Danio rerio: one gene and its partners. The protein of the gene in region 1 interacts with the protein of each later gene in a pairwise test. Links are inferred from orthologs where the notes say so. Each region holds a gene or a part of one and is shown in the gene's direction. Other genes may lie near its edges.

What was found.
Region 2: the proteins of dtnbb (region 1) and si:dkey-174m14.3 interact in binary tests that used the Homo sapiens proteins (3 or more experiments, as listed by UniProt). The two-hybrid records come from large-scale screens. The link is inferred for Danio rerio from reciprocal best matches to the Homo sapiens genes DTNB and BEGAIN.
Region 3: the proteins of dtnbb (region 1) and dmd interact in binary tests that used the Homo sapiens proteins (3 or more experiments, as listed by UniProt). The link is inferred for Danio rerio from reciprocal best matches to the Homo sapiens genes DTNB and DMD.

What each region holds. Positions count from the first base shown.
Region 1 is NC_133192.1:39,015,855-39,020,402, reverse strand, and holds the start of dtnbb (dystrobrevin, beta b), read left to right. Parts: upstream 1-1,614; coding exon 1,615-1,681; intron 1,682-4,362; coding exon 4,363-4,443; intron 4,444-4,548.
Region 2 is NC_133195.1:9,575,256-9,579,366, forward strand, and holds part of si:dkey-174m14.3 (uncharacterized protein LOC563117), read left to right. Parts: intron 1-1,652; coding exon 1,653-1,760; intron 1,761-1,875; coding exon 1,876-1,956; intron 1,957-4,111. UniProt on the Homo sapiens protein: May sustain the structure of the postsynaptic density (PSD).
Region 3 is NC_133176.1:12,343,518-12,347,628, reverse strand, and holds part of dmd (dystrophin), read left to right. Parts: intron 1-1,486; coding exon 1,487-1,609; intron 1,610-3,087; coding exon 3,088-3,258; intron 3,259-4,111. UniProt on the Homo sapiens protein: Anchors the extracellular matrix to the cytoskeleton via F-actin. Ligand for dystroglycan.

The sequences.
Region 1 (4,548 bases):
ATTATCATGGTTTTGTTAAAATTAGTTGAAAATGTTCAAAAATAATCGTCACAGATAAATATGGAGCCAGATCAGTCTCAAAAATAATACATTTATAAAATAAAATTCATACACAGATCACATTTACTAAATTTAATTAGTAAATTCAAGACACAATTCATAAACACACAATCCAATTAGTAAATTCAAAATAATTTAATAAGGGTGGCATGGTGGCACAGTGGGTAGCGCTGTCGCCTCCCTGCAAGAAGGTTGCTGGTTCGAGTCCCAGCTGGGTCAGTTGGCATTTTTGTGTGGAGTTTGCATGTTCTCCCTGTGTTGGGGTGGGTTTCCTCCGGGTGCTCCCGTTTCCCCTACAAGTCCAAAGAGGAATTGGTGAATTGGGTAAGCTAAATATTCCATAGTGTATGTGTGTATGTCCTGGTCCTCCAGGTTGGGGGTTGAGCGTTGGACTAACGACCCACCTCGTAAAAATTAGATGTTACAAAACACCAACATGGTGGGGCTAAATATCAACTTCGATATAAATGGCCTTGGCAGTACGTTAGTAAGTAAAATAATTCATAAATACACAAAGCACGATTTGTAAATTTAAAACACAATTCATAAATACACAAATATAATTCATAAATTCAAAGCAAAGTTCATACATAAACAAAACACAATTCGAAAATGCAAAACAAGTCATTAATACACAAATCCAATTCGTAAATTCAAAATGTAATTCACGAATATGCAAATCCAATTTGTAAATCCAAAACACAATTTACCAATATGCAAATCCAGTTTGTGATTTCAAAACACAATGCGTGAATATAAAACACAATTTGTAAATTCAAAACACAATTCTTAAATGTACACATCCCGTTCCCTTGGGGAAACATTTATAAAATTTTCACATGTTGTGTTTTGAATTTATGAATTGGATTTTCTGAATGTGAATGGTTGTGTATGCATGAGTTTTATTTTTGCAGATGTATTACTTTTGAGACTGATCTGGCTTCAAAGTTAATGCATTCCACCAAGTTTTGTAACTGGGATGAGTTTTGACATAATTTAAGTGCTTTTACTGTGTATATTTATTATGTACAGTTGCAATCAGAATTATTAGCCCCCCTTTGAATTTATTTTTCTTTTTAAAATATTTTCCAAATGATGTGGTAAATCCAAATCCAAATGATAAGGTAAATCCTATAACATTACGATTATTTAATCGCTAGAGTACTGTAAATGCATGTTTATATAGTATAGACATTATACAGTTTTATTTTTATTAGCTAATCGAAATGTTATAGGATTTACCATAATTTCTCAAAATAACAATAATCGATCTCGGTTTTTATGATAATAAAAAATTTTGGTAAATCCTATAACATTGCGATTAGCTAATCGCTAAAGGCTGCTATGTGAATGCATGTTTATATAGACAGTGAACAGTTGAAAATTTGACATGGTTCTCGCAGAGATTGAGACAGAGATCGAGATTGTTATGTTGCGATTGCAATTTCTTTATCGATTTACCGACAAATATTCAAATAGCAGTTTAGTTTTTACCGTGAGTTTTGCCTTATTCTGTCTTCTGTGCTATTAAATGGACGTTTTGTATTGTGTAGAATGATTGAAGAGGGAAGTAAAAGCAGCAAGTCTATGGTGGAGAAGAGACAGCTCTTCATGGAGATGAGTGAGTTGCTTTCACACACTACACACACACACACACACACACACACACACACACACACACACACACACACACACGCACACACACACACACACACACACACACACACACAGAGGCTTTGTCGAATCCTATTCGCCCTTCAGTGCCACAGGGCAGTAGACTGGGACAAACTAGTGTCTCTGTTCGGAAGGCAAAACTAATTTTGAGAAAACCCCATATCAGGTCCCAGTAAATCTGTCCTCTGTGTCTGATTTGTACTTTATAGCGAGTACAAATGTTACATAGCTGTTGAATTTTTTTTTCCATGCCATTACGCACTTTTAAAAAAATTGTCTATTGAAAAACACTACATCAATGAATTCCTGAAGTGTGTATCCAACACACACTTTACTATATTATAAGGCCATAGAGGATGCAATACAACTGGTCATGTGATTATCTTTTTTTAACAGTTTGGAAATACATTCAAATTCAATAACTTACTTGAGTAGTTTGCAATTTCACACTCAGCTTCTGAGTAAAATACATGGCTGCTTACCTTTATGTTTTGATGTCATCACTGGGAAATGACCTCATTTGACCTCACTTACTTTAATGATTTGCATGAAAATGTTTAAAACAGGATACTGTATTTAAAGGTCCCGTGAAGTGCTTTGAAATCTGCTCTTTTGTTTCATGTGTGTCATAATTTCAAGGGTGGGACAAGAGAAGCTTTTTTCCTTTAGCCAATATCAGTTTCCCTTCTTCCCAAAAACAGCCAATAGCATTGCGTTTCATCACAGCTCTGCCAGTGAGAGTAGTTTAGCTTAAGTGCATCAAATGAAAAGCAAATGAGAGGTAGGGATGCAACGATTACAGATTCTGGTTGTACGTTTATAGTCTAAGGGATAATCATGGTTATCACGATTATTATGCACTCATTCATTTCAAAACACTAGTTTAGAAAATCCCATGAAAACTTAAAGTTTTTTTTTTAAGTGCTATTTATTGCTGCTCTGTAAACTATTTATACAGCACAACAAAAACAAACAATATAAAAAATGAAAACAATGAAATAGTTTTTACATTTAAACGTAATTAATAATTTTACAGTGAAAATAAAAATGACAGAACAATGAATAAATAAATAAGTAAATAAATAAATAAAAATAAGAGAACACATGCAGTCAAAGGCCGCTAAACTTCGGTCTGAAAGGCACTATTGATCAACTATATTATGAACTTCTTTGGTATTTTTCTTTTGTATTGTGTTTTTTTTTTAGAAATGTCTATATTTCATACAAAGTTTGAAGCTGATTGGTCAATTCTTGTCACATGACTTGCAATATCAATATGCGTGCACCTCCATTAAAAAAAATAATGAACTTGTGAAACCCCGTCGGTCTTACGCCACCCAACCCGCCCCAAGCTGGTATCAAACTGGCGACCCTCCGCATGGGAGTCGGTTGCTCTACCAAGGAGGCTAAAGACCATGGCCTCTAGCGTCTGTCGCTAGAGCACCTTTTAGAGGTCAGAGGAGTGAGGTTTACCTGCACAGCACACACTAGCTGGCCTCCGTTACACTTGCGCCTGCAAAACACAGGATTTGTAAACGGCCCTTATTAGTCTCAGCCAAAGTTAAAATCTTTAATCCAGTATGTATACATACTGGTATACCGTGGCCAAGTCAAGGTTTTAAAACTGGCAACATTTTCTGCTATACCGTTCTTATGGTATATGCAAGCTTTTTTATTAACTTTTTTTTTTTTTTTTTAAGTTTTTGAGGACAACAGTATCTCCAGCAGAAAAGAAATCTAAAGAAGCCGTTTTAAATTGTAAAGAAATCAGTGTTTTTAAAACTAATGAAGATTAGTTGAAGATGATTCATTTGAATTATTTAGTCTGACATGTTTACTGTTCCAAAATATTTTAAATAGTTCTCAAAATAAGATCGATTGTGTTCACAGGAGGAAAAGGTTTAGTTTTTTACCCAGACATTTAAAAAGAACATGTTTTAGAGCAGTAATCACAACACCGTCAAACCATGAAATCATGATATTTTTATTCAAGGTTATCATACTGTCAGAATCTTATACTGACCCATGCCTACCACATATTGTGTACAAGCTCGGAACTTTATACTAGTGGCACACATTTGGCATAGCTTTGTTTAGTTGCAGTTTTGTTCCACGCAGAAACGTGGTGTTGAGAAGCCTTTACGATTAATTAACCGTGACGAATTAAAGCGTGGTTAACAGTGAAATCCGTTACTCGTTGCATCCCTGGTGTCTTGAAGGTGCAGGACAACTCAGATACTAAAAAGCATTTGATTGGTCAAAAGAACTGATGAAAAACTGAAGGACGGCAGAAGTGACAAACTTCAAGCTTTGGATGATTATATCTTCTAAATGCAAATTTAATCACTGTTTTGGAGCACACTCATTTGTAGATATCCTTAAGACTTAAACGTATTGATACTAACTTCTTAAACGCTTTATTTTGATTTTACAGGGACTTTAACAGGTAGCTATCACTATACTGGTGCAAAAAGAGCAGCCATGACATTCTTCAAATTGTCTCTTTTTCTATATTATGGAAGAAGAAAGTCTTATATAAAGGAAACAACATAAGAGTGAATAAAATAATGTCAACATTTTAATTTTGTGTGTGAAAGTGACAAATCTGATGCATGTAATTTTACCCAGGGGCTCAAAACTTTGATGTCATTCGCCTTTCAACGTACAGGACAGCATGTAAGCTACGATTTGTCCAGAAACGCTGCAACCGTAAGTTGTCATGTCTTTCATTTGAATGTATCATTGAATCCCCTTGTTTAGCAAGTACATTTGTTCTCGTGTGCTGGGAAAATCAACAAAATACATCCATTGTTT
Region 2 (4,111 bases), on another chromosome or scaffold:
CGATTTCTTTCCTAACTGTTTATGCTCATTTAAGATGAAATTAGTTGTGTTAAAAAAAAAAAAAAAAAAAAAAAACACCAAGATTGACATCTTTAGATGTTATTATTATTGATTATGTGTATATGTCTGTTTAAGAACGCACCAAAAACCCAGACTGGCTTGTTCAGAATCCGTTTGGGAAACAGCGTCTATTTATCACTATGGAGTGCGTAAGCTGACAGTCCAACACAATCTCACGGCAATTCGTAACTTTTTCATTTAGTGGCTAATTCGTACAAATTCGCACAATCTAATTCGTACATTTTAGTATGATTTGCGTATCCCCCAATGACGGTTGGGTTTAGGGGTGCGGTAAGGTGCCACGCCTCCTTTTTAAAATCATACATTTTCTTACGACTGAACTCGTACGAATTGTACGAATTAGCCACTGAACTGCCAAAACGTAAAATACTTACATTTTCTTGTGAGATCAGGCTGGACAGTCACCAAAGCAATTTTTACTGTTTTGAGGATAGCATATGAGGGGTGACGGCACCTGTAATAAAAAGAAAGGGAATCGCATCTTTTTTATATTTATTTCAAAGTGTTTTCTCGCCTAAACAAATCGAAAGCATAGAACAGACTCATATTTATGAGCGAGGGGCAGCCCCTGGTGGTTCGGCGGTATGGGTTGTGTATGGGGAGGATCGGCTCTTTAATGTCTACTTGCCACCCTTCAGAGAAAGACTGAAAATATGGTAGAAATACGGGAAAATACCTTTACGAGATGATAGCTGGATAGAACTGTAAAATATGGGGGAATCCCGGGAAAAACAGGAGGGTTGACAGGTATGCCAATGGGGCAGGCCCGGATTGGCTAATCGGGAGGACCGGGAGAATTCCCGGTGGGCCGGTCCGTTTTTTGGCCGCGAGGGCCGGTGTCCCTAGCTGCAGAATCTGTTGCTCTCTGCAGTCACACTTTTTAAATTTATTTATTTACTTGACCACAGCCTTTTTATTCATTATTTTACCGCAACTCTTCTCTTTTCATCTATTTTAATGATTATAAAACTCAGTTTTGTCTCCTATCTACACACCATTATTGTGGACCAGCGGTTAGTGCGTTAGATTAAGACGCCGCGGACCCGGGTTCGACCCTCGTTAGAGTAACTTTTTGTTTTCATTTTTATTGTTAAGACATATGATACTGTTAGGGTTGTTGAACATTTGAAGTTCTAAAGCAGCTCTTTTCTCAAAAAATGACGTGATAGTGTCATTAGAAACTGATTTGGAAATGACCTTATTTTATTATAGTCAGTCGTGAACTGAAGTGGGCCGGTCTGAGGCTTGAAACTCCAGGGCTGAAAAGGAGTCCCACTCCGGCCCTGCAATGGGGTAATCAAAATACTCATGTTTTTCTTTTTGACAACTGATTATTTTGCTTACCCCACTGGCAGATTGTTGTGCTTGCTTTAAGAAAAATTCTCACTTAATTTTGACAATATTTCTTAAAATGAGACCTAATTTTTAGCTTGTCTAAAAAATGCTTATAGAATTAAGAGTTTTTAGATATTTGGATTGAAAACAAGACATGAATCTACGCAAGGAAAACATTTTTGCAGTGTATCTGTCATTTTTTTTCCTCACCTGAAAACATTCTCCTTTTCATCTAGTCCCAGCACCACGATGATGAGAAACGGGCTCTCAGTCGCGAAATCATCGTTCTTAACAATCATCTCATGGAAGCCAAGATGACCATTGAGAAGCTCAGAGAGGACAATGTAAGAGAAATAATGACTATGTGATTTCCCTTTGCACACAGAGGCTTAGCGGCTACCCTTTGGAGGATGGTTTGCTTTAGATTACCTAATGTTCCTTTTCTCCCGCTCTGCACAGGACTTGTACAGAAAAGACTGTAACCTTGCTGCACAGCTTTTGCAGTGCAATAAATCACATTACAGAGCCCAGTTATCCGAGGTAAGTTAACAAAAACAGTTTTGTACATTTTCTGACTGCACTGGTTAGTCCTGATACGTGGTGCATTTGTATTTCCCTAGCATATGCATCTCCTCCTGAAATCAGTATTGAAGTTTTAAGATTATCTTTAAAATAATATGCTCCAAAACAACGACACAATTCTAATTTAAAAGTTCACCAATATAGTTATGGTTTTGTTTTGATGACTTCATCCTACATTTTAGCTTGCCAGTTTTTATCCAATCAAATACTCACGATTAGTGTTTGATTTCCCCTATATTATAAAAATATGCTAAAGATAAGGCTGAAATAATTCACACAGTTACTTTTTCTATGTGTTTAATGAGAAATTGTTCAATAAACACGAAATAAATAATTCAGACAAGTGTTATAATGCTTTTCATTGGAGTGCATAAAGTCTGTTTTCTTGTTAGTGTCATGCAGTGGTGGAAAGAGGACTGAAAAATCGTACTCACATAAAAGTACCATTACTTGCCTAAAAATGTAGTGCGAGTAAAAGTATCTGTTGTAAATATAACTCAAAGAATGAGTAAAAAGTAGCCCTTTTAAGATTAGTGAGTATTACACTGTTTAAAACTGATGCGTTTACATCTAATTTGTGGATGTGTGTAAACGTAACATTCTGTAGTGCATCTAGTTAATGCCCAGACACAACACCATAAGGCGTTAATATTAGGTTAGATTTAGACTGTGATGTCAGGTGGCAAAAATTCTATATCTAGCCAGCGTCTAAGGATGTTTTTTGATGTGCAATATGATGTCAAATGATGTTGATATTTGGTTGATTTTAGGTTAAGTTAGAAAGTGACAAATTCAGCGTTGAGCCAACATCTTAAACCAACTTCATATTTACATCAAAAGATACCATTTATTCATCAGGTATGGCAACCAAAATCCAACATCTGATAGATGTCATAGTGGTAACGTCCACACAACGTCAAGCTGTAATATCATTAGACTTTGATATTTGGTTGGTTTAGGTTGGAAATTGACGTTGGCCTGACGTTGAGTTCTTATTTCTACACGATTTTTATTTCCAGTCTGACGTCATGTGCCTGCTTGGTGTTTAAGGCTATTTCGATTATCATACAGTAAACATCTGTTATCTTTTCATCAGAGACATGCATCTAAACAGTCTCTGGGTCAATGCGTGTAAAGATTTTGGACATCTTTTTGGAGACTTTTGGTGCTTTCAAACAGTTTGCAGAAATTATAAATCTCCCATGTCTTGAGGTAGTTCATTATGAAGCGATTTACCTTCTGTGTGCGCTCTGATTGGACAGGAATCACAGGACTGATGTTTCTAATCCCCATAGACAAGAAATAATAATGTAGTGACTGCAGGTTGAAGCAAAGTAGTGGAGTAAAAGTACAGATACTGCACTAAAAACATACTCAAGGGAAATTAGAAGTACACATTTTCAAAACAACTTAGTAAATTACAATTCCTGAGAAAAACTACTCAATTACAGTAATTTGAGTATTTGTAATTTGTTACTTTATACTACCTAAGGGGAGAATCTGGTTGATTCAGTTTGGTTATGTTGAATTTCATGGCACACTGAATAAAATATTACATTTCTTTTTAATAAACATTTCGCTACTTTTGATAAGTTACTATTAAGTGGAAAAAACTTTTTTAAATTAATCCATGGTGTGACAGTATGAAATAATTAAAAAAACACTTCTTGGAAGATTTTTCCTTGTGTGTCTTCATTTGTATGTTTTCTACCCAAAATATTTAAAATGAAATATTATCTTGGGGCTTTTTTTGTTTTAAAATGTTAATCAAATGCATAACTGCCAACACTCTCGTTTTTCCTGGGAGACTCCCGTATTTCAGACCCATCTCCCACCACCCTCCCATGTTGTTATTTTTACCAGAAAACTCCTGTAATTTCACCCCACCACCAGTCCTCAGCTTTTTGGTAGTCTGTAACACCCCTGGGTCAGCAACTTTGGTATAGTATCCAATGGCAGGGGCCACCCAAAACCCAGTGTTCTGACAACTTTTTCTACCTTTTCAGATTGTCCTACTTCCCATTTAATAAGTAGGTACACTGTAAAATAAAATTTGTTTTATGCTACGTTAAGTAAAAAAATAAAATAAAATAACAACGGTACATTTAAAGAA
Region 3 (4,111 bases), on another chromosome or scaffold:
AAGGCTAAATTCATTTCCTTTCAATTTCACATCTCCATATTGTTCTTTTAAATCCAGATGGCCATTTCTGGAGGCGGCAATAATGTTATGAAACTTTAAAGCATATTTATCTCCTGCTCTTCTTTATTACCTTTTCTACTGCTCGCCGTTTCCACATCTCATCTTTTATCTTTCTGACTATGTTTTCTACCTTATTCCGCTTTGTAAATAGCTATAAATATCTTGGGGACAACATGTCAAGAGATGAGGCTTAGCCTTGAAGCTAAAATGAAAGGATTAAATAAAAGTAAATTCATAAAATGAAGATTCTGTTAATGTTTTCTAACTTATATATTATTTACCTTATATGTCCACATAGCACAAAAAGAAAATGTTTAATAATATATTTTTCAATTTTTTGCATGCAGTGGAAGAAAGTCTAATGTTTCACAGGTGTATATCAGAGTTTATTAAAAAATAATATGGCATTCTAGGGCTGCACAATATATTGTTTCAGCATCGGTATCGCAATGTGATCATTCGCAATTGTCACATCGTACGATATGCAATGTTGAGTCTATATTATTATGTTATTATTATAAGCCAGAATTTACATGTTTTTTTTAAGCCTTTGACTGCATTCACGGCCAAGAAACGGTACCGTTTGTAACTTTAATAAAGATTCATTTTATTGAATTATTATTATTATTATTATTTAGTTACTACACCAGAAGACTATTAGACTCGGAAAAAGATAAAAAATTCAGTCGTATCTTGTATTTTTTTTATTGCATTGATCTATGCTTGAAGGTGGTTAATTATATTTTAGTCAGGTGCATTTCTTATCTCAACCGAACCAATCTAAAATAATTAATCCTTTCCAAATCGAAGTATTCAAGTCTTCTGCTAAAATGGTAATCATATCACAATATCGATTTTTCCAGTAGTGTGCAGTTCTAACGTATACAGTGTAATTAAGTTAAGATTTATGCATGATTTATTTTTATTTGGTAGTCAGTCAGTATTTTATATTGTCCTGTTGTAATTTCTGCTGATGATACGGTTCTCATCTGAAGTTTCAAAGAAACCCTATTAGTAGTTGATAATTAAAATAAAACACATTTAACACATACACTCGCCGGCCACTTTATTAAGTGCAATTAAGGGTTAAAGCAGTTCCAAAGGCAAACGTGTTTACAACCCGGTACTAGTAAGTTGTACCTAATAAAGTGCCCGGTGAATGTATCTGTTAATGGCCACTCAGAGAACCAAAATTAACTCTGATGCTGTTTCTATTTTTCAAAGCTGTATGTTTCGCTGTTTTTTTAACATGCAATGTTTGTAAGAACACAACCGTGAATAAATAATAACAGACAGTACATTTTTGGATAAACGTTTACTTTAACGTAGCATCTACTGTAATATCACAGCCTGTTATGGAGCATATTTCTTTATGCTATTAAGCGAAGCTGAATGTAAACATACAGTATCTCCATCTGCCATGCAGGATTATCAAAATCAAATGAAAACACTTGAGCAGAACATTTCTCAGATCAACACCTGGATGGATCGCGCAGAAGAGAAGCTGGATGAGATGGACAGCCAGGGCTGCATTGAGCACGTTATAAAGGTCTTCAGACACTCACAATATGCTTCTGCACTTCACAACCGAATGTTTTCTGTTTTTGAGGACTAGAGACGGTTTTATGCAGCCATACTTTTGCATCAAATTAAAGGAAAAGTTATCCATCTTTCTTTGGCAATGATGTTTTGATGGCTCATTAATTGGAGGCAATTTGCAGCAAATAAAACTCTAGATTAAGCCATTAAGGAGAACAAAACAGACAGATGGCCAAAAAATTGTATTTTAGATTTAGAATACAGATCATCATTCATCCGTACCATCTATACATTAAATATAACCGTCTTTTGTAACTTATTACCTAAATATTTGGTAACACTTTACAATTTGTGTAAGTTAATGAATTAGTTAACATGTATCAATGACGAAAAACACATTTGTTAAGCATTACTTATTCTTTAATGGTAACTAAACATATAATAACATGTTAGTTGATGGATTAGTTAACATGAACTGAAGGCGAACAATGTTTGTTCAGCATTATAATCTTTAATAGTTGTTAATGTTTAATTGCAATGCAATAACCAGAACAATTAAGTTACAGTAAGTAGAATTTTTTTTCTGTTTGTAACAAGTGATAAAAACTAGAAAATCTAGAAAAATTTAATTATAAAAACCAGTAAATTAAGTTGCTGTAACTATAATAAAAAACTACTTCGTTAGTTAGTTAGTTCTAACTTAAATGTTGTAATTAGCACAACTTAAATTTTCTAGCTAATGCAACTCAATTATTCTAGGTCTTATACTGTAACTTAATGTTTTAGTTAGCACAGCTTAAATATTCTACCTAATGCAACTCAATTATTCTAGATCATATACTGTAACTTAATTTTGTAGTTAGCACAACTTAAATATTCTAGCTAATGCAACTCAATTATTCTAGGTCTTATACTGTAACTTAATGTTTTAGTTAGCACAGCTTAAATATTCTACCTAATGCAACTCAATTATTCTAGATCATATACTGTAACTTAATTTTGTAGTTAGCACAACTTAAAATTTCTAGCTAATGCAACTCAATTATTCTAGGTCTTATACTGTAACTTAATTTTGTAGTTAGCACAACTTAAATATTCTAGCTAATGCAACTCAATTATTCTAGGTCTTATACTGTAACTTCATTTTTGTAGATAGCACAACTTCAAATTTTTAGCTAATGCAACTCAATTTTTCTAGGTAATATACTGTAACTTAGTTTTTGTAGTTAGAAAAACTTAATTGTTGTAATTACTGCAACTTTTTTTCTAGTTACCGCAACTTAATTTTTCTAGTTCTTATAACTTTTTTTGTAGTTCTCATAACTTACTTTTTTGTTACTGCAATTTAATATTTTTTTTGAGTTTTTAATTGTCAAGTGTAATTGTATTTTTTTTTTTTTTGCAATACCTATGAATTAATCAGATTTATAGCATTTATTCTAAATGCATCATTCATAACTGATTTGTTGGTGTTTTCTGAATGTTCAGGGTTTGCGAATGGAGTTGGAGGAGATGAAGGGGAAAGTTGAAGCAGTGCAAGTTCTAGCAGAGGATCTTATAAAGAACACAGGGGAACATTGTAAAGCTCAAGTGAAACCAAAGCTTGAACAGCTTAACCAACGTTTTGACATTGTTGCAAGAAGGATTTTAATGGGACAGGTAATGCTATGAAAAGGTGCATGCCTATACACTACCTGACAAAAGTCTTGTTGTCAATCCCAGTTGTAAGAGCAACGAATTATAACTTGACTTCTAGTTGATCATTTGAAAAAGTAGCAGAAGGTAGATTTTTCAGATGAATCAGATCAGATGAATCAGTACTGCAGAAGACCTATTGAAACCAGCATGGACCAAATATTCTCACTGAAAGTAGTCAAGTTTCGAGAAGAAAAAATCATGATTTGGGGTTACATTCAGTATGGACCAAGCTAGAGATCTGCAGAGTGGATGGCAACATCAACAACCTGAGGTAACAAGACATTTGTGCTGCCTATTACATTACAAACCACAGGAGAGGGCAAATTCTTCTGCAGGATAGCACTCCTTCTCATACTTCAGCCTCCACATCCAAGTTCCTGAAAGCTAAGAAGGTCAAGGCGCTCCAGGATTGGCCAGCCCAGTCACCAGACATGAACATTATTGACCATGTCTGGTAAGATGAAGGTGGAGGCGCAGAAGATGAATCCAAAGAATCTTGATGAACTCTGGGAGTCCTGCAAGAACTCTTTCTTTGACATTCCAGATGACTTTATTAATAAGTTATCTGAGTCATTGCAGAGATGTTTGGATGCAGTTGTTCAAGCTCATGGGAGTCATACACAATATTAATTCTCTTTCCACTGCACCATGACTTACTGTACATATACTGCACATTATTTCTGTTAAGTGACAAGACTTTTGTATAAGCAAAGTCAGACCTTGCTGACCTTATTAAAGAATTAAAAATCAAGGCATGATCATGTTTTATTTTGGTAAAATAAGAGTCACCTAAGCCTTTGTCTTTCATGCAAGC